3 linked regions of the Arabidopsis thaliana genome follow. The protein of the gene in region 2 interacts with the protein of the main gene of each other region in a pairwise test. Each region holds a gene or a part of one and is shown on either strand. Other genes may lie near its edges. The genes, in order: COL1, SPA1 and CRY2.

Region 1 (8,286 bases), on a different chromosome or scaffold from region 2:
ATGGTAATGAGAATCATATCGGAAAAGTGACATGAAAAACATAGAGACGGTGGATTTTCTAGGATCAAACTCGAATCCGCCAAGTAGTCTTGAGACTACAAATTAGAATTTACCTGACGCACAAGTTAAAACTTAAAAGGCATTTTGGAGTCCACATGAGCAATAATTAGATTTATCATATATAGTATGTAGAAATTTGCACTTGGTAACCATTATAGTAAGTAGTTACAAAACATGACTCATGAGTGTTGTCACATCTCTGTAATTTGGGTTTATGATGATACTCTATACTATTTATTGTAGCTTTATTAGATCTCAACCTGTGGAAGTAATCTAATACAAACGACACTTGTATGGAATTTTCAGGACATGTTTCTAAGATCACAGAGGTAATTGTGAAGTTTTCTGCTACACTCATTTACTAGTCCACATGATCCATAGATGCAATTTAACCATCTTCACTCTATTTGGTGACCCATTCATGTGTTTAGCATCGTGGGTTTTCCTGTACTAATAACCATTAGTACTTGGAGTTGCCTTGTTGGTGTTATGCTCATAATGTTTACTATGTGGAAGCTACAGGATACGATACTCTCTAGGTTTGAGGACTAGCTCCAGTTACGCTTTTGGGTCCAGTGAATGTATGATACCCATTATGTGGTCCAAAAAGAATGAGATTTGACGGACGCTCTAGTGGCCAAATTCATATGGCTACCTTCACTCTATGCCTTAAGAGCTGAAAAGTGAGTGTTTTTTTTTTGTATAAAATGCTGGTCCTAGGATACACTTTTCGCATCTCTTCCTCTTTCATATTTGCTTACACCGCACTTCTCTTTCCCATTTTGAACTTTAAACTTTGAAAAGTTTTTTTTTGCTTGGTAATTGGAACTTAACATACAAGTTCTTGTTATTTACTGGTTTTACGATGAATGTAATGGCATTTAGAATTGTTATGAAATGGTTATATGATCATTGAATTCTAAAGAAAAGATTCTAGGTTCTTTAGTAAGCATTTTTGGAGATCTTTATCCTGCCAAGTTGGATAAGTTGAGGCATCTTTGGCTTTTAGTGCTTTGGTGATGAAATTTTTTGGAGATTGTAACGTGGTTCGAGTTCATGAAGAGTAAATTGTGTATTGGCCTTTTCACTTGTAGCTCAAGAAAAAAGTAGTTTTGCTTATTATTGCTCGTTGACAGTCTCTAATTAAGTTTATTGTTGTAGCGGTTTGGAACTTCTCTCACATGTGTAGGCCTTCGGATAACTGTTACGAGTAATAGATCATATGTAACAATATCCTCAAAGTTGCATCGAGATTTTCAAGAAAACACTATTGCTTATTTGTTTTCATTCTTTATCAGGTTTCCGTGGTTTCGAATACTTTGCTTCTTTCAGATTAACGAAAACCCTATTTAGTTGCAAAGACTGAGAAGAGAATAAGAGTCGAGGGACCATATAAAGCTTGTAATTGTACGTTTATGCGGATTCTCCACTTTCCATGGCTGTGAGAAACTATCTGAGGAAAAGTGCAGTGACCTTTGGCAAAAGGTAATCACTTTTATGCACTTTCACGTGCTAGCTCGAATCCACACCAAATAGTAACATTCTATTGGCTCTGAAACTCATAGTGCTCCAAGTGGTTGTCATTGCATTTTAAAAATTCCTGACAAGAAATTTAGTAGAAACTTTGCTACTTCAAGTTTCCTTCTTTATGATATGCTAGCTCGTATTATATGCAACATGGGATATCTTTGTTTTGCTTGTGTGGCTTATAAGTTTATGTTGCATGATCAAAACAGATCACTGAATAAATTTTCTGGTGGTCTGAGAACTCGCTGCAGTGAATGAATGAGATCCATGTAAGTGGCCCCAAAAGAACATAATTTACAACACTCTGGTAGGTAAATTCATGTGGATACTAAAACTGACTCATTTATGGCTAAAAAGTATTGATTTGGTACATGAATTCATCAGCTTAACCGTTGAAGTGGGAAGCTATCCTAGTGGTAAATAAGTTGATCTCTGGCCCTTTCCAGGTGGCAAAAAGTGAAGGCTTTACAGTGTCACCCTTTTTCTTTTGGTTGCGTCGTTATTCTTTAGTGCCAGTATATACCTTGGAAAAAGTGAGCTATTATTCTAAAAGATAGACCAAGAAATAGATTTCTCACACTGAATATCTTTGTTCATTTGGATGGTCCATAGGCATTGACATATTCTGCTAGTAGTGGTTGTGAGTGATAGAATCTTGTTATCCGAGACAACCTCGTGGGAATGGATTTAGCACCAATGCTAATCACTAATCAGTACAAGAATATGCGTTGATGTAATTGTACCTATTAGCATTGTTCACTCAGGATTCTTGGTTATTTGTTACCTGACTATTCAGTGTGTGATTTTATTGGAGTTTTACATGTTTACACTTGTCTCTGTAATCTACTTTTGGTATAAAATCATATTGAGTACAACTTTCTTTTCTCAGGGATGTGCGAAATTGTCTTTGGGGCGGCATAAGTGGAATCATTTATCTTCTACGTGATAAAGTGATGTGGAAAGTGTCACCAAGAAAGGAATCATTAACTTTGAACTTAGGCAAGGTGAGTTACGTGTTGACTGTTCTTGGTACAGCTAGCTATACTAATGCATATCTCTTTGTAGCATCAGTTTGAATTTAGACTGTAGGGCAGTATTTCATAGATAAGAGGACTTCTACCAAGTGGGCAAAATTTGTATTAACTTACAGCAGCTAAGTATGAGTGTATATCTAATTAACTCGTACTAGTTAGGCAAAACTAGTAAACTACAGACCCTATATGCATAAAACCGTGGTAATAACTTGCAGGAATTTCAAACCAGAAGTAATTTACAAGCATGCAGTCTAGTTTTGCCATAGCAGCATCAGAATGATGGAACAATTCCATATCCGGTGTCAAATGTTATCATTGTGGAGAAAGCTTGGTTTGCCTCTTCATCGACATCTTTCTTCTTTGCAAACCGGCCCTTGATCCGTGGTCTTTTCTCTGCATACGCTTTCCTTGAAGCATATCTTATCGTCTTCTCAAATTTCCTCATCTTCTTCTTCTCTCTGTATCTCAGGACTCTAGCTTCTCTGTCCCTTGGACTGAGCATCTGAGCTGGAGGGTAAGGTGGTTGGTCTGTTACCGCTTTGGGCGATCTTGGGTTTGATACTGTTGCGTCACTCGTTGTTGACTCCGGCACAACTCCCAGGTCCATAGATGAAACATTCACCTAATGACAGTAACAAAGACATTCTTAGAAATTTACTTCATGGATTTGTGTGAAAGAAGCAGCATGCTGGTCATAGTAACGGATCTGAATTAAATATATGAAAGCTTACCATATGACTGAGGGAACCATTGGAGCTTCGAAGAGCTCCCCAGGAGCCACAGTTGATACTCAGCTGAAAGTTCTGTTGCTCTTGGTACATGCCCTTTGATACTTCAATTTGAAGTGGAACAACTCCATCTTCCCCATAGCTCCTCTGAGGTACGTTGCAGTCTAGTTGATACTGATTGGATTGATCTGTGAATTGCTTATCACTCGAACTATAATCAACAAGGTTCAGAAACTCATCCCCAATCGAGAAGCCATTGTTGTTACCACTGTTTTTCCCTGAATTAGGCAACAACCATGAAGCCGCCTCTGCTTCATCTTCATCCTCTTCTTCTTGACCAAGCACAAGTCTGTTCTCTGGATCTGTCACTGTTGTCTCACATGAATGGTTAGTGGCCGTGGAACTGTAAGAGTACTCAGAAATGGGCAGAATTGGAACTCGTTGATGGCGTCTAGCAAGTGGGTTTGCGGAATGAATCTCTGAATCACAGGTTGTGCATAGAGATGCAGCATCTGCCTTGCAGAAAAAGGCAGCCGGGGCTCGCTCACATGATTGACAGACTCGAACACGTTCATGGCGGGAAGCAAGACGATTGGCAGCATGAACTTGAGCATCACAACTGGAGCACAAGTAGGCAGAATCAGCCCGGCAGTACACGGTGCAGGCGGCTGATCGGCATGTATCACAGGCTTGTGCCCAGTTACTCTCTACTTTCAACATACTAACCGCAGATGTTGTAGTTGTTTGATGGTGAGTGAGATCGTATGTAAAGGCAGCAGGGGACTAAGAAGGCTATATTAGTTGTTGAATGGAAATGGAAAGGAAGGATAGAATTCTGAGGGCTGGACACGTGGCGAGAAGTTTGTGGGTTTGATGTTGAGTGATCATCTTGTGGCTGGCTGAGTTTTTGAGAAGGGGTCCAGTGCAGAGATGCTTACAGCTTTGGAATCATCAACCAGCACGAAATGTGAAAGAAAGAAAAAAACTAATTGTCTTCTTATATCTTTGCAATGGCACCAATAGTTACTACTTTTTCTCTCTTTCTTCCTCAATAAGTGTAAACACCTCTTCCTATGTAATCTTCTATAGGACCCATCCACATGTTACCTAGGTTCTGAAACGTGCAACTTCTAACTATTTTTGTATCATCTACTACTATTTTGGTAAAGCTGGAAACTTTAGTAGCTCTTTGGCTTGACCATTAGCCTAATGTTTATCTTGATTCTTAACTTTTGCCATGTTCTAACTGTTCAGGTTTCTCTCATCGTCTCATGATTTCAATTATAAAAATTAAATGATCACTGTTTAGCATTGTTAAAAAGATTATGACTCTTAACCATTTGTTATCTTCGAATGATGCTAGGTGTCTTTTTTGGTGATATGTTGGAGATAATAGATATGGCATGTCCTAACTTTGTTTCCTTCCACATCAAGTCGGTCAAGCTGATTTGGCCAACGGTGGAGATCCAAGGAGCCAATTGGAATCTGCCAAGTCGCTACGAGTCTCTAGAGATTAGGAGCCACAAGTTGAAGCAAATGGTGGGTCCAAATTAAGGTGAATAACGATAGTTATATCAACATCACCTGTGGTCTGTTTATACAAGTCCAATTTGCTTATGATCACCATCATATTTCATAGTTACAAAACATGTATAAGTCTATCAAGTGTTTGTCACATCTCAATCACCTTTTTGAGAATATGATAAAACTCGATATTATCTTTACTAGCTTTTATTAGATTTCAAACTTGTGGAAGTAATCATATTCATGTGTTCAAATCTACATGGGTCAAATAAATTTGGTGGAGCAACAAAGTTTGTTTTTATTTACATGATGTTCTACTGATGCAATTAAAAACACAGCAACTAACAAAGGTAAAAACTGAGGATCAACAAACAAAGCTTGTTTTCCTTTCTTGGCAGTCAGAAAGGGCTAATCTCACGAGCCAGTTTCAGTAACAACTCTGGTACAAGACGCTTTCTGGGAGGAGCCAACGAGTCTTTGGTCAGCCCATCATTGTCCTCCGCATGTATCACAGAGACTATGTCATCAAAGAGTTCGTCTTTACCTCCTCGTAAGGGATCCTATAAACAATACTCTCATGAGTTTTATTGTACTCACACTGAGCTAAGTGTTTGTGTGTGTGACACAATGTAAGGTAAGTTGACTGATTTATGTGGCTTACCTGAAGAAATAAGTCAGTATGTGTCTTTCCGCTGTATAAAACAAGCTCGGCTTTTGCTCCAACAGCTTGCAGAGCGTCTGTAAAAGTTTTGCTGCAAACGAGGTGGTTTTAGTATCCCAAAAGGTTTCATCAGTAATGTATCACTTCAAGAAGATGATCATATATACCTTTCATCGCATGGTATGGAATAATCTGAGGATCCGTGGAAAAGTATAATAGGAGGTAAAAGAGAAGCAGCTTTTCCAACAACTGGGTCTTTCAGTCTTACTTCCGGAGAGAATTTCTCAAAGGACTCTTCTCCTTCCATTATGCTGCAAGTTGGAGTTGAACATTAGATCTGATCAGACTGCGTTTAGGATTTGGTTAACCAAGCATTTACCTTAGGAAAATCGAGCGATACAGACCCCGATTATGGAAGTGATCAACCAACTTGTATAGATTGTACCTATTGAAGTTCAAAATGATAAGCAGATCAATTGCTGTAGACCAAAAAGCACATAGAAGCCAACGGGAATCCAAAAGCTTAGAAGATACCCTCCAGATAATCCAAAATAAGCTTTTATCTGGGACACTGTCCAGGAGATGCTCTCTCCTTTTAATTCTTTAGTAGCTTGTTCCAATAGAGCACAAGCGGCTATATGGGCACCAGCTGATTGCCCCATCAGGTAGATCCTAGAGAGACAAGCAGATACATGCAGTTTAATAGCCGAGAGACCAATTGGAAGATCAAATGGTAAATAAAAACAAAGCCAATGAGATGAAACCTGTTGGGGTCACCTCCAAATGCAGAGATGTTATTGCAGACAAATGAGATTCCTTGAGAAGCATCAGTCACCATATCACTAATTGTTCCCTGAGGAAAGTTCCTATACCATAAAGAACGGATTGCTTGGTAAATGCATGAAAGTTCTTCCTATATTCATAAAAGACGACTAGTTTTTTGAATTGTGTAATTTGTTTACCTGTAGTCAAGGCATGCTACAATGATATCTCTTTCTGCTAGCTGCATTCCCAAGAGCGAGCCCCAAGCTTTGTACCTAAATATCAGTACAAGATTAGCAAACATGAACTTATTAACAAGCAACCAGCTAGTACAAGAAGATGAAACTTGAGTGAGTCAGTGAGATAAGAATACAGAGCCCATCATGATCTTTACTTTTTTCTTTTTGTAACTCAAACATCAACAAAAGAACAGTGAAGGGGAAAACTTCTATAAGTGGGACACGAGAAATTGTAAAACAAACAAATTTCAACATTATGCAGAAGAGAATGCTGTAAATCTGATGTGCAACCCACCCAATAATCCAAGCTCCACCCGTCACAAAAACCACAACCGGCTTCAAGCCATCGTTGTTGCTTGGCAAGTACAGATCCAGCCTATCAAATCACCGTTCATACATCAATAATCTCAAGACAAAGGTGATGTGATAAAAGCAGGCATTCAACATACCACTTAAGGCCGATGTGAAAGGAGAAGGTAAGATTCTATTCAGTTCACACACAAACCTGTTCCTTGGTTGATCTCCATACACTATACTCCTCCGGACTTGCTTTGAGAAAAAATAACTATATGCAACTGCACAAGATAATACAAACTTGAGACGAGGAATCAAAGACTAATTTTCCAATTAAAACAACATCTTAATCAAAAGGAAAAATCCTTTCTATGAATTTATTTATCAGCAAAGAAAAAAAAAAAAAAATCAAACCTTGAAGAAAGCCAGGCATAAGAAGCATAGCATAACATGTAAGGGCAAGTAATTTTGTCATCCATCGATAGCCTACCCTGAACAAAACTTAACAATTAGATCAATCCTTGCTCAACTGGAAATATAAAAAGAAGAAGTTAAACAAGAGCAAAACAACAGCACATGGAGTAACTTTCATAATTAGAGTAAAGTTCCAAAATAAAAGACAGAGAACTTTTATATATCATTGGATTCTTTGCAGAGCAAGGCAAAGCCAGCTAATATCTACACGAATTACCTCCCTAAGCGTAATCATCAATATACCTAAATCCAAAAACAGGGACAATCGAGATCAGTACCCGAGGTATCGAAGAAGCTTGAAGCTAAGTCCAGTAATTAGATACGTTTCAGCTGCCGCGTGGCCGATATCGCGACCGAACGATTGCTGCCGGAAAATCCGACGAGGTCCTTCGTCAACCGGCGACTTCCCGGAAACTCGACGACGTAACGGTTCACCGTTAAGAAGAGTCGTTCTATCGGAGTCCTCATCGGGTAGAACTTCCTCGATCTCCGATACCGTCGAGGTCATCGGCCAGCATCGCTGCTCCGGCTGCTGAGTCTGAAGAGGCGAATGCATCTTTTCCGCCGTGAAATAGTGGATCTCGAATTCCAAGATTCTTCGTGTTGCTCTTCTCTTTTGAATTTCAAACTCTTTTTGTTATCTTCGCTTTTGTGCGCTTTCCATTTCCTTCTACACGAGGAATGTAGTAAAGTAGTGTGTAGATATAACCAAAAGTTTGTACAAGACGACGACGTTCTTAGCTCTTATTGATGACGTTTGATCATGTAATGATGTGTGATTAAAGAGAATCAAATGTCAGACAGTAATGAAATTATTCGCAAAATATTGATTATTCTAAAATGTTTGTTAGTCATTTCATTTGTGATTGGATGGAGTAGTGTGACGACTTTGGAAGCTAGTATTAGCAAATCATGGGCTTTACCACGTTCGGAAAATGCTAAAACTCGTGGGCCCAAAGTGTGACGAATATTTCCGAATCTAA
Region 2 (8,286 bases):
AACCATGAAATAGACGCTTCTATATCTCTATCTTATCACAAGATTAACATGTACACATCTCATAGAGGAAGAGAAAGCACATGAGGCTAGTCCTATAGATCCTACCGTGCAACATATGATGGTAAATAAGAAAGATTCCAAACTTGACATCGATAGGTACCTGAACTACACCATCGTAGTCAGTCGAGGCCAAGTAGTTTTTGATGTAGCTATTCCAGCAAACACAGCTTAATTTAGATTTGTTGACCATCTCTACTAGTGGATAATGAACACCGACAGATTCATTCATAAATGCATTGAAGTCAAAAATCTTGATCTTCTTTGATATCCCAGCTGCTGCTATGTGTTCTTCATCAGGGTCAAAACTCAACGAGCAGACCACACTTGCAGAGTTTAAAAGGTCCCCACTTCTTATTGTCCCACAGGTTTCGAACTTGCTATACCGAGCAAATTTGCACAACCCCTCGAAAAACACTTCGAGTTGATCTGAAGATTTTCCTTTGGTACTCATATCCTGATTTTCATTTTGGTTTTCAGAGCATCTGTCCCTGTCCTTTAGTGTTTTGTCAGAACGGGCAGTAGCAGCAGAACTCGATAAGTTGATTTGTGATCGCATGAAAAAATATGCATCTTCAAGTTGACGGATATTACTCATCAGCCTGTCTGTATTAGCAGTTGGTACAAACAAGGCACTGGAAGTTGTACAGTGCTCGTCTAGGGGAGATGATTGCACCCTTTTTTCAATAGCTCCATGAGATCTCACCAGAGATACATTTGAAGAATATCTTCGCTCGGCCTCCTTAATATCATCCTCTAAGGTCTGGATATCTTGCAAAAGTTTAGATGCTTTTTTCTTCTTCTGCACTTCTAATGAAGACAAAAAATGAAGTAACAGCTCAGATATCTCCTCAGCAGCAGCAGTCGATTTAACTGAATCATCCTCGCATATCAACTCTGACTTTAGTATATCTCTGTCACATAAAGAGAAAAGAATGAGAACAGAAAAAGAAACAAGAAGATAATTCACACAGTAGCATGCCATTTTTTTTCTTCACAATTAAGCGGGAAAACATTAAATAAAATTGAAGATATCCGGCAAAGAAATCTTAAATACGACTATTTAAGCTAATGGAAGGTCTACAGATTCTCCTTTGTACCACTCCTAGACTCCTAGTAAATACTCGCCCACATGAATCATAAAAGAGTAGCACTCAGCTAAATACCTAGCTGATGGTCGGGAGGAGGGTTCAGGATGTAGAAGCCAAAGACAAAATCCAGCTTCCTTCGGGTATTTCGAGAGAAATGTTGGTGGGAGAATCCGATGGCGTAAATCTGCCATCATTGCAGCATGCATCTCGCCTGACTCGCAATGGCATAGCAACTGAAACAACAATTGGTCAAGCTAGATGTCAGTAGGCGTCTTCACATGAAAGTATCAAACAAGTAAACAAAAATACTGACAAGTTATATACTGCAGACTGGAAAATACTAGCTCTGGGATTCAAAGTTCAGACTAGAGTAAGAAATTTCATGAAAATGAAAGAATATAAACTACCCAAAGCCCACATAAGCAGGATATGACAGTACATAGTGTTCAAATGCAAGGAAATGTTACATCCTTCTTGGTATTAAAGCAAACTAAAAATCTATCCACAACAATAAAACTGGGTATTCGTCCATACCTCAAACAGAAGAACACCAAGGGCATAAATATTTGATTTTTCTCCAATATCTTCTCCATTTATCTCCTCTGGACAAGTATACCATTGCTCTTCTAGCCATGTGGACATAGACTGTTTTCTCGACACTGAAGACACGCTTAAATTTTTTATGTAGTCTTGCTGTTGAAGCTCGCAACTGTCTGGATTACGTGCATCAACCATGTTTAAATCAATCACAGGGCTTTTCCTTTTGAAAGGTCGCCCGGTTGAAGTGGCCTGAAGTTGATTCCCTGGAGAATTCAAATGCAAGTCCATTTTTCTTTTCTTCGAATCCCTACCTCCACTAGATGATTCCTCAACAACAGGCCTCCTCCTATTCAAATCTTCGTCAACATCTGATTCTAGATCGTTCTTTCCAAAATTACCAATATATCTAAGTTTCTTTGATGGAACTAAAGTGAAAAGGGATGGTCTCAAGTCTAGCAAGAATAATCTTTTTGAATGGGCTGAGTCAACCAGTTCCACCAGCTGCCTAAATAGACAAAGGCCATGTCTTTTTTCTCTTTTAGCATAACTTGATCTAAGAAACTCCCTCAAACTGATTCCAATAGAAGATTTACTATGATTCCCATCACCATGTGATACCATACCATTTCCTTTGGGACTTGATTTTAGAGGTAACACATCGTGAGGAGTAGGCGACTTGCTAATATCCAACTTTTTTTCCTTGCTTCCTAAATCTTGATCAGAGACAAATTCAGGAGGAGTTTCCTGGTTCTTTCCTACTACCCCTTTCCCTTTCATAGCTCTTTTAAGTAACAACTGAGAAAAATTCGAAGAACTCACCGGCGTTTTCATTTGGACACCTTCACTGATCAATGCAGGAGCATTCATAATACTATTCTCACCAGCTGCTCTTAGACGTTCAGAAAAAGCTTCAAGATTCTGATCGCTCCTCCTAGACATAAAAGGTTTCAAGTTTTGCCTCTCAGAAGGAGCTCCAGCAAGCTGTTGTCTGATTCTGGACAACATTTGATCCATATCACGAGGTTGAGAATCAAGATCCCCATCTCCTGCCCTAAAAGCAGACCCTCTAGCCAAACGATAAAGATGCTCAAACTTGCCAGCCCTAGGACTATCCACATTAGTATTATTACTCCCTTGAACAATCCTGTAGTTCCCCAATGTCAACTCTTCAACAGAAAGCTTAGCTCCTGCGGCTTCCTCAGGAGGCGGCGGCTTAGTCAAATCAACATTCCTGTGAGCTGAGCTTCCAGGACAATCACTGTTTGCAGTTTCTGATTGAATCACCATATCGTTATGACGAGCATCAAGCTTATTACAAGGAACATCATCCACTCGTGCTTTCAATTGTATGTTGTTAGTCGCCACAGTTTCTTCAGCTACTCTTTCCATAACAGGCATCAACACTCATTGCATCAGCACCACACGTAATAATAATAATAATCTACAGCCTCCATACCTTAAATCATATACAATACAAAAACAAATCAGAATCAAACCAACAAAATGAAGAAGAAGAAGAAGAAGAAGAAGAAAGAAGCCCTACCTAGTAAATTCATGCATGTAGAGATTCTAAAACTAGTTAAACATACAATAATCACTAATCCCGAAACGTATCATTAGCTGTAATCTAAAGTAGCTAATCAAAACAGAAGAAGATTATGTAAAATCGCAGCAAACTATTAAAACCAATCATGAAGATTACGAGAAACGAGAAATACACAAAAATCAAATCGCTTACCCCGAAGATCCCAGATATCGAGAGAGATCACAATCAGATCATACACCGAAGCGGTGTGGAGAAGAAACCTCTTGAAGAAAGCAAATTCAAAAACACACAGAAGAAGAAGAAGAAGAAGAAGAAAGGTGAGGCTATAAATTTGTCATATACTATTGATAATTACATATAATATCTCTTTTGTATTCTGTGTATAGTCGAAGAAACACAAATGAATCTCTCTTTCTCTATAGACTTTTGCACAATTCGTTCTTCATTCCTTATTTTCTGATTTTTTATTTTAATGATTAATTTAGGCTTTGAAGCCACATATCAAATTTTCTTTATTCTGGCGGACAATTTTTTGAACATTATTTTATTTAATTTTTTCATTACTTTATAGCAAAAAGAGAGAAAGATTTTTTATTTTGGCTGCCCAATTATTATACTTGTTTTGTTTAAGTAAGAGGTCAAAAGGATTATGACACGAGATTACGTTCATAATCTTTTGATTAGTGACATCAGCTTTAGAGATGGTCCTGTTTTTTGGTCTTATTTACGGATTATGCCACTCAGGTTTTTCCTCTCTGGTTAAACGATATGTGTGAGTATAGGGGTAGGATGGTAAATAAAGAGGAAAAGCGTGGGTATTAAGAGTGTTGCATGGGGGAAGTAATCTTTAGGGATATTTGTTAAGAGGAGGAGATTAAAACACGTCGACGTCGCTTAATCTATTCGCCATTCGAGGGGGGTCACGTGAAAGATGTGGAGATTATTAAGCCACGCTTTTTTTGCGAATAAACTAATATACCCTCACCTATAACAACACTTTTTGGGCTCAGCCCATTTTGGAAACCCATTTGGGAAACTTTGTACAACAAACACAATTTAAACTAATATACTCCACCTATCAGTTATTGGGCTCAGCCCATTTTAATACTTTTATGGGCTGCTTCGCTTATAACTTGGACACAACTTTTGTTTTCCATAAACCCATTAGTTAAGCATTTATTTTAGGATGTCAAAAAAACAATGAAAAGGCATTCATTTTAGCCATTGGCCAATTTTATCAATGGTTAAATGTTTGGTTGTTCTCAAAACGAAACATTTGAGATAAGAAAAATAAAAATAAAAATTGGTCGATCTTGTGACTAATGAATTTAGGAATCTTATTTCTCTACCATCGAGTCTTTAAGATGGAAAATATACCAATACCACTCAAAAAATTGCAAATTGATTTAATTAGTTACTATGAATGACCACAAGAAAAAAAAAAGAAGAAGATAAAAATTTTGTCCAAAAGACGGGCTAATTTAGGGACTAATAGCTCCCAATAATTGTATCATTTTTGGGTCTTCTTTTTGGGTTTATGGATTCGTCTCGCGAAGCCAATCGTAAACATGATGCGGAGGAGAAAAGAGAAGACGAGAAAACTTCTCTGATGGAGGTAAATCTCATGGTGGTGCTTCTCTCTCAGCTTTCTACGAAGAAGGAAGATGAGAATGGTTTGGAGAAAGAGAGAAGAGACCATGTTGCACACGAGGCTCGTGAATCTAGAGCACGTGCAAACAAGAGGTTTATGAAGGATACAAAGTTGATGGAGAAAAGGACTCACGTGCTTCAGCCCATGGCTAAAGAATTCAGGCATTACAGGAAAATGTGAAGGCGCATGACTGACTTGTGATTGCCCCCAGAACCTGAGTTCAATTATATTTATTGGATTCAAATTTTTTTGTTATTGATCACTATATATAAAGATGAACAGATCTTTTCATTATTAATTAACTGTAAAAGATGAAAATGAAGAGATTTTTTGGCGTAATTAAATGTAAGCAAGTATTCGCTTTGTAACGAAGATGTATCCAATCTTGTATCAACTATAGAAGAGATGCAAATTCAATGTTTCAACCTAACCAGCAACATGTTGTATTATTTTCTCTGCTCTAATTCGGATTTGTGATGCTTAGTTAAATTTGTGTGGTATATCAGATAGAAACGTTTCATTCATCAATCTTATCGTGTTATGATCATTGTTCTTAAACAATGAACCAAAAGCAGCATTGACACGACCCTAGCTCCTCCACCACAATAACATGAAAATCCTCCTCTCTCTATTTCGGATTCGTAAATCATAGGGAGATTCCTTTTAGACGAACCACAACCTAAAATAATAATATTTAACATGATTAACAGCTACTTACCTTTACCTAATCTATCCCTTAATCTAACATTATTTTAATAACTAGTTGACATCCACAACCTAATCCATATATAATCCCTTTAGCTTTGTTTTGTTTTTGTATTCTCTCAACATGTGAACTTGGAAATAAAACCCAAACTGATAATCAGCATAATCTATAAAATTAAATTTCGAATAAAAATTTGATTTGGTCGGTCCTATATTCCATAATATACCCTGAATTGTAAATTCATAATACTACAATGATATATCATATTTATATACAACACGTTTAAATGTAATGGTAGAGTTTTTGGACGAAGTGTTATTATGAAAAATTTAATTTGTTGAGATCAGAGTGTTATATCTTTAAAAATTTCGGCTAGCCGTCGAAGGGAAAAGATGTTCACACGAGGGCTCCGGTCTTCGTTGAGAAGATGTGACTTGAAAACAAACAAAAGAGTGATAAAAAGGAATGATATAAAAAGTGGCCGGAAACGGAATTGGGTAGTAAATGAGGGGTCGTTTTCGCAAAACCCAATTTTGGTCACTATGCAATAAGAGGTTTGGGTTTGTCACTAATGAATTATGACACGCTCTCCATTATTATGACAATTTCATTAATTTTCATCCATTTGATTATTATCTTATGTTTTAGTTTTTCTTTGTTATTATATTTTGGATAAATGTACATTGTGACTGATTTGTATATTACAAACAATAAAACCGCCAAAACAATAATAAAATTAAAATATGTCTTTCATAAGATGATACCAAAATAATTTTTAAAATATAGAGATGACATATGTATAACTTTTTTTTACAACCTAAACTAGTAAAACATGATACTGAATAGTAAAATAATACATATATGTTAAAGGGCAATATTCTTTATTATTTAACAGATAATTTTAATACAACGAAGAGTTACGCAATAATTATGAAATTAACCACTAGAATATGGTCGACTGTTAAAAATGTCAAATGTGATTAAGGTTCAATCATTTGATACGTGCGTGAATCTTCATTAGCTATTATTTCGGCTATATAATATTCATTAAACTTTTCCTTCTAAGTTCTAACCCTCTTTACCTTTTCATTCAATTATTTGATTGGTTTATTGAATGCAAATAGCAAGTTAGCAACCATTATTCTAGTGAAGACAACCCTTTTTGTAACGATTTGACGTGGTCAACGAAATGGGTAAAACGTCATAAAAGCAAAGCCATGGATTATAGAGGTACTTATAATAAATTATTACACTAATTAGTAATTACCTTCAGATTTAAAATTCGTTTTGTAATATTTCAACAAGACTACGCTAGAAAATGATCGCTCATATGGTTATTGTATTTTCATTTTTCCCACGTATATAATCTGAAAATTATAAATAAATATAAATAACATTATGAACGTTAAAAAATTCTCATTACATGAAGTTACAAGCAAACTTTAAATCATAGATTGACCTAGAAATTTAGACAAAAAAAAAAGATTGACCTAGACTATTTGTTGATGATTGGAATTATATATATAGTAATGAGGAAGAAAATATCTGATAAGTATTTACATAAATATTTGTCAATGCATTATGCAGGTCTGATTTTGGATGTTGCATGACACATCAATGTCATTAATTAACACAAGCAATTAGATTACATGTTTGGTCCACAAACAAGTATATATATATATATATATATATACATAAATAGTTTTATAAAGAATTTTAAAATGTTTGTTGGCGTAAATTGACTGATCATTTGGTAGGAAATGATTATTATAGGTGTCACACTCAATATTAAAAAGTAGTAAGTTATACATATTTTGCTGAAATGTTTGATACCTAATGTGTAATTCCATTGGCTAATTGTGATTTGTGAAGCTAAACAACATAGAAAGAAGACGTCTAAGAATCGTGACAACACAACATAACATCAATGGGACCACTATGGTAAAACATATTCGATGAACTAATGAACAAATGTATAGAGCCATCAACATGTATGATTAATTAAACTAAATAACTATGCTTATTGCAGAAATTGTGTGTCGTTTACTTTTTCGTCTTATCATAATCACTTGTATCAAGTTGTACGTTAGCCCCTATGGAACGTGAGGACGCTTACGTATTCATAATACTAAAAAGATAAACAGTGTCTAGTTCTTTTGTAGCCATTTTTTTGGGTACTTAAACACTATAAATTCTTTAAATAATATATCACTGTTTTCTTTTGATAAACGAAATAAGAAACCAATGTTGTACATAAGTTCTGTGTTATGGTTGACGTGATAGGTAAATGTTGTCAAGCTAATCGTAAGTAATTAAACTATATGATTAAGTTATTAATGCGTCACTGATATGGAATATTTTTGTGATCTGTTGATGGACCTGACTTTAATTCTCGATTCTTAGGAATTAGGAAATGGCCAAGTTGACCAACAAAAAATGTGGCGGGTGTAGTGGAACCCACTCAAAAAAATCAGGCAACTTTCGTAATTTAATGAAACATTTGGGGGCGAAAATAAGGAAAACGTAAAGGATGTGACCGACAAATTATTTAGAGCCGAGACGTAATTGAATTGGACGGCACTGCCACGTGTAAGCACGAAACTCACTTGGGTCACAGTACATGCGGATCCAGAGGATCTTTTATACTAATCCAATTAGACTCATCCACGTGTCAAATTAGTTAAATTTAAGTTTT
Region 3 (8,286 bases), on a different chromosome or scaffold from region 2:
ATGTGACTCGAGGGGTTGATGATTAAAAATAATGGTTACGAACCAAAACTGATAGTAAAGAAGACGTTATCCGAATCGGATCTTGCTTCTACTCTCTTTTCCACGACAATTCCGATTACGTCGACCCTCATCCAGGCCCCGTCGACTCCTCTCTGGACGAAACCGATGCCATTGTCAAACATTTCGACGCCTGATGATTCCTGACATTGAAGCTTTATCGCGTGGACTTTTTCTCGTTGTTGTGCCATGCAAGTACAGTAAAACCTTTATAAATTAATATTCGATAAATTAATCATTTTTATAAAATAATAAATTCTTTCAGTATTTGGGACTAGTGTAAAAAGCGATACAAATCGATAAATTAATAAAATATTTTTTTTTTGAAAATCCTATGTAAACATATAGTCCCATCAATATCATAAATTAATAATTGTATTAAAATATCAGCTATATATATATATAAGAAATTTCAATGAAATATAATTCTAGTATCGTTTATTTTTGTAATTTAATTTAATATTTTTATTATATCAAAAAAATTCTTGTTGTTTTCAAGATATGATAATTATTTGTAATTGATTATAAAAAAATATTTTAATCATCAAAAAAAATCTTATATTTTTATAGAAATTAAAAAAATCTTACCGTAGTATTCAGTCATTTAGTTACTATTTTTCATTGGGGTTTTTAGACCAATGATTTGTTACTTTTATTTCCAACTGCATTTGTTTCATATAAAAACGTCGTGTATCGAGATTTCCTTTCTTTTCTTTATAAAGAAATATAAATTGGCCGTTATCTTTTTCCTCAAACTAAACAACTCAGATGAAACAAATTCAAAGACTAAACAAATATGTATATTTTATTCATAGCCAATTGAAATAATATCAGCATTATATGTTTATGCAATCATATCCTTTTGAGTATAACCAAAAGGAAACAAAGAGTTAAAAGACACATTCACACATCTACATGTTAGGCTTTATAACAGCACATTATTTTGATCATTTGCAACCATTTTTTCCCAAACTTGTAGTAATCTGATCAGATGAATCTTGAATACCTTCCAGATTCTTCCCTTCTGATGCCAACGAGCAAGACTGCGAAACGAAAAACACACTCGAAGAAGAAGAAGATTCAGCAGTCGAAAACAACTCCCTTTCATCGAATCCCCTAGATTTCTTCATGTCTCTCTCTTCTTCTTCCTCAGGTTTCACTCTCTTTGACCCGTTGTAACGAACAGCCGAAGGTACTTGTTGGTCATTAGAAGACACAGATGGGCAAAGACCAGGTTCTTTAATGGTATTAGCCCCTAAGGCCTCGAAGCTATCTGCTACAATCTCATCAGGTGCTGCTCCGATCATGATCTGTGCTTCACGGGTTCTTGAAATAGCTTTAGCTAGTAGCTCACGAGCTGTGTCGATGTCTACAATGGGTTTCGCATAGTTTGTTCCGAGTTCCACACCAGAAGCTTTGAGTACGGTTAAAGGAGCGTCCCATGGATGATGGATCCATTCAGTTGGCAATCTCGCAAGCTCGGGAAGCCATTGCCTTATGTACTCACCTTCTGGGTCATATTTGGCGCCTTGTAACTGAAATAAAAACAGAGTTTTCATAGACTTCAGAACTAAATCAACCAAACCAAATAAGCTGAAAAATAAAATAAAAAACGAATGCATAGCAAAAACTGGTATTAAGCTTTGAATTCTAAACTATAAGACAAGTTTTGTAGTTTACCGCGGGATTGTCCAAGCGATCAAGCTCGTGGCCATCGGGGATACTCCCAGAGATATACTGCCAGCCAAGGATGTCACATTCCAAATCAGCATCCAAAAGTGTATCCCAGAAATACTTCATTCCCCATTTCCATGGAAGGAGAAGAAACTTCACAGCAAAGCTTGAAACAATCACTCTTATTCTGTTATGCATCCATCCGGTAGCCCAAAGCTCTCTCATTCCGGCATCCACCAACGGATAACCGGTCCTGCCTTGTCTCCAGGCCTTGAACTTATCAACATCAGCATCCCAAGGGAAAAACCGAAGATGACTCAACAACGATTGCTCGTGAGTAAACGGGAAGTTGAAACATATATACCGAGAATACTCTCTTAAACCGATTCCCCTAAGAAAAAGATCTGCACTTTCTTCTCCTTCACTGTTCTTATCTCTTGCCCATATAATTTGTTTCATCCGGGCACACTGGAAAACGTGTCTGACGCTTATTTCCCCGAAATGGAGATACGGAGAAAGTAGTGAAGTAGAATTCCCAACAACTTTCTTGCTGTTCTTTGCATAATCTATCAACTGCTTCTCGATGAACTCATTTAGTAACTTATCAGCATTGCTCCATCCTGGAGACCAAGCTCTAGTTAACAACGCATTGCTCGGTTTCTCGGCCTCATTCTCCAGCCCTAGTTCTTCAATCGAACACGCCCAAATCGCTTCAGCCGCTAACAAAGAAAAAGCCATAAACTTTTACTACCGCTTATGTCCTGAAGAAATCAAAAACGTTTTAGCTTTTAAGTAATACTCTTTAAGGTTTTACCTGCAGTTATTGGCATCAACCGCCAAGGAGGAGGAAGCATAACGGATTCAATCGACATATCTAAGCATTTCTTCCAGTAAGAATTGAAACTCGTAAAAGGTTTGCCCTTTTCGCAGTATATCTCCCACGGTTCATACAATAGATCTCCATTGTAGCTTTGCACAGAGATCCCACGTTCCACCAGCTTCTCCTTTACGGTATGGTCCCGAACTAACGAAACAGGATCTACAACAAAGAAAAACGTGATCGCATCAACCTCAGTTGCACTTAGACTACACTAACTTAATAAGAATATATATCCTTTGAATAAGAGATGAAAGAGTATATACCATAGAGGTGGTTAAAGACGACTTTTGTAGCACCGGTAACGCGGATACAATCCAAGATCGCTGAAATCGTGTTGTGGGTTTTGATTAAAGTGAGGTCAGATCCAAGAGCCTTCAAGGATTGAGATAAGTGAGCAAGTGATTGTTTCATCCACCATCTTGAAGCTCTTCCAGGATAAAACTGTCCTTCTTCTTCAGGACACCAAATGAAGACAGGAAAAACAGATCCTTCGTGAGCAGCTGCTGCTAATGCAGGATTATCCTCAATCCTTAGGTCTCTTCTAAACCAAACTATAGTCTTTTTGTCCATCTTCATAGTTATTATGATCACAGATGAATCAAAGATCAAATCAGCTAAAATTCCACACTCTAACCAAGTTGTTCCATGATTTCAGACCTCAACCTCCTCCAGAGAATAGTTCTATAACAATAACAGAGAATGATTGATAAGAAATCTGTAATCTTTGAGTCCTAAAATCCAAAATAATCTACAAAAAAACATAACAGAGAGAGATTCGATTTAATCCTAATCCTTTTAAACAGAGCAAGCAAGAGAAATTCAATTGAGAGAAACAAAAATCAAAAGCTGGAAACTTTTTACCAGAACTCAAATCAGAGTGGATATCTCTCGGCGACAAAGATCTTCGAATCAAAGACTGTGAAAGTTATTTTAGTGACTTGACTCTTCTTTCTTCCTATTTTGGGTATGCAAAGTTAAAGATTTGAGATCTAACGGAGACCAAAAACAATACCCATATGAGAGTATGAATGTTAATAATTGTGCAATATAATAATCACAACGAGACAAAAGTAGACAACTTTATCCACAACTAGTGGCGTGTGTTCTTATAATAGCGTTTTTTTTACCGACATCTCATCTTTGATTTGCTCATCTACGATTTTATCGGGATCATGTACGAACTTTCTCTTGTGAGATATTTTTTTATAAGAGATCGAATTTTGTTTGAATGTTGAGTGGGCCTAAAGCGCAGTGAAGATACTCTTATCTTCTTATGCTAGAGAAAAAAGTTTTTTAACGTTGGGGCCGAGGACGGTGGTTCATGAACTCGATTCTGGTCATGCCCACTTTTGTAGAATCCATTAAATATCTAAAGTCTATATGGCTTAAAGGTGAGAACTTGATTCTCATTAGTCATTACCAAGTAGAATCTATAATCAAAATCCACTGCTTTTACTTTACAAAAGGAAAAAGGTAAAGATAAAAAAGTTCTCTCAAACTTTGAATCCTCGTATACCCCTTATTAATGGACCATTGCCTACGGTTTATGATTCGATTTCGGATAGTCGTAAAATAGAAGCAATCTAAGTTTTTTGGATGTATATTTTGGTGTCAACTTGGTGTTTGGTTATAAAATATTTGGGTGAAGAAAAATAGAAGTAAAATTAAAATAATCCACATTAGAATTTCAGTTTAATCTAGTGATTTGGTTTTGGTATGAATCTGCAAGAGTAGCATTTCTTTTTGCAATTGCAACACAATAACACCATTCCTCACAAATCACAATTGCACAAACCCATTATCGAAGAGCTCATCAATTTTGGGCTAATTGCTAAAGCAGAAAAAAATAATCGCAAAAGATAACCATGCAACTGCCAATTTTCTTCTTTTCATGGGTAAACCAAATCAGACACATTGAAAAAAACGATATCCTGGTTTAGAAACAGACCAGGGACAATACTCATCAAAGAGACCAAAGAGGTTATAAAACAGTGTTTGGAGATCTTTCAAACACACTTCTTATTCGGACAAAGCCCTGAAAGGCTTTAACTGATCTCACACCTTATAGATGAAAATTTTGCTCCAGAAGGGTTTAAGAGAGGCATGAGTACGCCAAGTCCTTCTCTTCCTTGAGCTCCTCTGCAGTCAAATCCATCTTCTTCCTTGATACTTCATCAATCGGAAGGCCTAACCAAACAAAATACACATTAGGGTCTGCAGAATCTAGGATTTCATAATTGATGAGCATTTGAGTTTGTAAGTGCGTCATATTTACCTTGGACAATACTCCAGTCTCCATTGCGACAAGTTACAGGGAAGGAGTAGATAAGTCCTGATGGAACGCTGTAAGAGCCATCGGAGTATACTCCCATGGAAACGAACGTACCCTGACAATTTGAATCAAAGAAAGAACTCATATTAGATTAACTGTTACAAAAAAACAGCACTGCAAATAACGGGGAAGAGTTTTATTATGAACCTCTGGAGTTCCAAGGACCCAGTCACGGATGTGGTCACAAGCAGAGCTAGCAGCAGAGAGCGCACTAGACAACTTCCTCGCCTTGATGATTGCAGCTCCACGTTGTTGAACTGTAGAGATAAATTCTCCGTCCAACCTACAGAATGAGCAATATATTTAAGTGAAACTAGATTTTGCTTCCAGAGAAGAGAAAGGGTCTTAAGTTCTATGGCATGTTATACATACCATGCATCGTCCTTGACGAGCTCACGGACAGGCTTCTCTCCAGACGAGGTCTGCACTTTAGCATGGTTGACATCTGGGTACTGTGAGGATGAGTGGTTTCCCCAGATGATCACGTTCTTAACATCAGACACTGGCACGCTCAACCTCTCAGAGATCTGTCCCAAAGCCCTGTTGTGGTCAAGCCTTGTCAAACAAGAGATGTTCTTTTCAGGGATTGATGGTGCAAATTCCTTGAGGATCAATGCGTTGGTGTTTGCCGGGTTGGCCACAACAAGAACCTGAAAAAAAAAAGACAAAACGAGAGCGAATGTGTGAGCAAGAGAGTCGTAAACTAGAACCCAATAGAGAACACAAAGCATCTGTTACACTCCAATGAACAGAGAAGATTGGATGCAGTGGCTTCATTTAACTTAAAAAGCAAACAGATCGTATCACCTTGCAGTTAGGAGCGGCATGCTTCTCCAAGGCAGCAGCCTGAGACTTGTAGATGGAAACATTCTTGGACATCACATCCTTCCTCTCCATACCTTCTTTCCTCGGGAAACCACCAACCATAACAGCAACATTGACTCCAGTACATCCCTCAACGGCATCAGTTGTAGCAACAACACCTGATAATAATACACATCAAATATTCATCTTCTCCTTTCCCACTTATACAAAACAACTTATGACACGGAATGCAAATATCCACAGCAAAACAAAACCCTTAACTACCTTTAAGAAGAGGGAAAGCAGCATCGATCAACTCCATCTTAACACCGTTCAAAGCTTCAGCAGCTGGAGGAATATCCAACATGTGGAGGATAACAGGTTGGTCAGCACCAAGCATGATACCCCTTGCAATCATAGGTACAAGAGCATATCCGATTTGTCCTGCATAATCACAATCAATAGTTACTTTCAGTAGCTGAGGAGATCTAAAGTCACAACTTAAACTCTATCCAACTATATAAACAACGGTTTCTAAATCAGAGTTCGATCCATGAAATAACTTTTACTAAAATTAGATATGCGACCAACTCAATCAATCGTTGGTCAGCGTTGAATCCAACGGAACAAGAGTTGACCTATATTTCATTGATCTATGGAACAACCAGATACTATGCAGAGATCTGACTAGATTCAGCAAGCGATTCACTAGCCAGAGATCTAGAAGTTACACGATCTAATCGGATATAGATGAAAGTTATACCTGCAGCTCCAGTAACGAGCACACGAACTGGTTCTTTCGCCATCGGATCTAGATCGGAGATTATCGCCGGAAAACGGATCGAATTTGGGATATTCGACTTTTGAGAGAGCGTAGAGTCAGCTTTTGTCTGACCGTGAAGCTCACTCTTGCGTATTTATCGAAGATATCGAAGGATGTACCGCCACGTCATCTAATATAATCATATTATCTCGAAGAAATAAATCGAAATCTGAGATTAGACCTATCATATTAGGAAAACAAGATATTATTCAATATATATTTTTGACTCTAATGGGCCTCTTACATTAGGCCCAAATCGTTTAGCCCAGAGTATTCAAATACGTGAATCAAAACAGTAGATAATGGTGGCGATAAGGCGAGAAGAACCACGTCCACGACAACCTCCGGTATGGCGTCATCTTACGTCACCTACTCAACGGTCACTCCGGTGGTCAGCAGCAGTAACATTCGAGGAGTCTTTCGTTTGGCATTCACGCGCCGCCGTGTTACTCTATCGCCGAATGCTCGGAGGAGAATATTGAGAGTTTCGGCGAAAGCGTCGACGAAGAATGCTATGGAGTATAGGAAATTAGGAGATTCCGATCTCAACATCAGCGAAGTTACTATGGGCACTGTAAGAACAATCTCTCTTTATCTCCTGCAATTGTAGTCCATTGTTCAATTTTGAAGTTTTGATGAAATTTGGAATTTCAGATGACATTTGGGGAGCAAAATACTGAGAAAGAATCTCATGAGATGCTGAGTTATGCAATTGAAGAGGGCATCAATTGCATTGACACTGCTGAAGCTGTGAGTTTTTATCTTCATTGTTCATCTTTCTCTTCTTGCCTGGTGAATTTGATTGCAAGTGTTTATGTGAATGTTTTATACTTTATATATAATTCTGGTGAATTTAGCACTGTTGTGTTTAGCTTTCTGGAATCTGCTTAGTCTGTGGTAAATTTTCAAGTATCATTGTTTATTTCCAGTATCCCATACCGATGAAGAAGGAGACGCAAGGTAAAACGGATCTTTATATCAGTAGCTGGTTGAAGTCTCAGCAACGTGACAAGGTATCAACCATTTATCATACTTTGGATGCATATTGGTCACGAATGTATATGATATCAGCAAAACCTAATCGAAGTTATAAAAATTGATATTGATGTTCATTGTTTCTGTATACAGATAGTTTTGGCAACTAAAGTATGTGGGTACTCAGAAAGGTCAGCTTACATAAGGGACAGTGGTGAGATTCTGCGTGTAGATGCTGCTAATATCAAAGAAAGTGTTGAGAAAAGTCTTAAGCGCCTTGGAACTGATTACATTGACTTGCTTCAAATACACTGGTAACATCGCCTTATTTTTGCTTTATGTCTTAACTCATATTCTACATTGTTTGAGCAAGTGTCTTTCTATTTCATGCGCAAAATATTTCGTTTTTCATCATCAAATGTCAGAAAATCATGACACTGATCTTTTTTTCAGTCCAGGCCAGATCGATACGTACCACTCTTCGGTGATTTTTACTATGAAACGTCGAAATGGAGACCTAGTGTGCCATTCGCTGAGCAACTAAGAGCCTTTCAGGATCTCATAGTTGAAGGAAAGGTAGTGCTACTCCTTAAAAATCAGATGTTATATTGAGTTATATAACCTCAAACACAGAGTTTTGAAGTGTTCCTCGAATTCTGCAACAGGTTCGCTATATCGGTGTCTCGAATGAAACTTCATACGGAGTGACGGAGTTTGTTAACACAGCAAAACTCGAAGGAC

What was found.
Region 1: the proteins of SPA1 (region 2) and COL1 interact in binary tests that used the Arabidopsis thaliana proteins (3 or more experiments, as listed by UniProt).
Region 3: the proteins of SPA1 (region 2) and CRY2 interact in a two-hybrid assay, tested with the Arabidopsis thaliana proteins (4 studies listed by BioGRID, with this or other methods).

Annotation. Positions count from the first base shown.
Region 1 is NC_003076.8:5,173,405-5,181,690, forward strand, and holds COL1 (CONSTANS-like 1), read right to left. Parts: upstream 4,494-8,286; 5' UTR 4,070-4,493; coding exon 3,353-4,069; exon of another isoform or gene 3,244-3,352; coding exon 2,893-3,243; 3' UTR 2,687-2,892; downstream 1-2,686. Other genes in the region: AT5G15853 (uncharacterized protein), read left to right, coding at 4,703-4,903; PCME (prenylcysteine methylesterase), read right to left, coding at 5,272-5,433, 5,535-5,625, 5,702-5,845, 5,914-5,979, 6,069-6,206, 6,299-6,400, 6,497-6,571, 6,831-6,911 and 3 more. UniProt on the Arabidopsis thaliana protein: Putative transcription factor that may be involved in the light input to the circadian clock but does not affect flowering time.
Region 2 is NC_003071.7:19,023,736-19,032,021, forward strand, and holds the start of SPA1 (SPA (suppressor of phyA-105) protein family), read right to left. Parts: upstream 3,794-8,286; 5' UTR 3,427-3,793; exon of another isoform or gene 3,232-3,426; intron 3,145-3,231; 5' UTR 3,087-3,144; coding exon 1,683-3,086; intron 1,382-1,682; coding exon 1,224-1,381; intron 972-1,223; coding exon 161-971; intron 1-160. Other genes in the region: AT2G46360 (uncharacterized protein), read left to right, coding at 4,772-5,065. UniProt on the Arabidopsis thaliana protein: Controls normal photoperiodic flowering and regulates circadian rhythms. Required for suppression of photomorphogenesis in dark-grown seedlings and for normal elongation growth of adult plants.
Region 3 is NC_003070.9:1,184,715-1,193,000, forward strand, and holds CRY2 (cryptochrome 2), read right to left. Parts: upstream 3,983-8,286; 5' UTR 3,473-3,982; intron 3,360-3,472; exon of another isoform or gene 3,293-3,359; 5' UTR 3,188-3,292; coding exon 2,875-3,187; intron 2,771-2,874; coding exon 2,546-2,770; intron 2,451-2,545; coding exon 1,738-2,450; intron 1,593-1,737; coding exon 1,005-1,592; 3' UTR 798-1,004; downstream 1-797. Other genes in the region: c-NAD-MDH1 (Lactate/malate dehydrogenase family protein), read right to left, coding at 4,704-4,798, 4,887-4,998, 5,091-5,226, 5,316-5,593, 5,751-5,926, 6,033-6,191, 6,511-6,553; AT1G04420 (NAD(P)-linked oxidoreductase superfamily protein), read left to right, coding at 6,920-7,144, 7,225-7,320, 7,500-7,583, 7,699-7,859, 8,004-8,121, 8,211-8,286.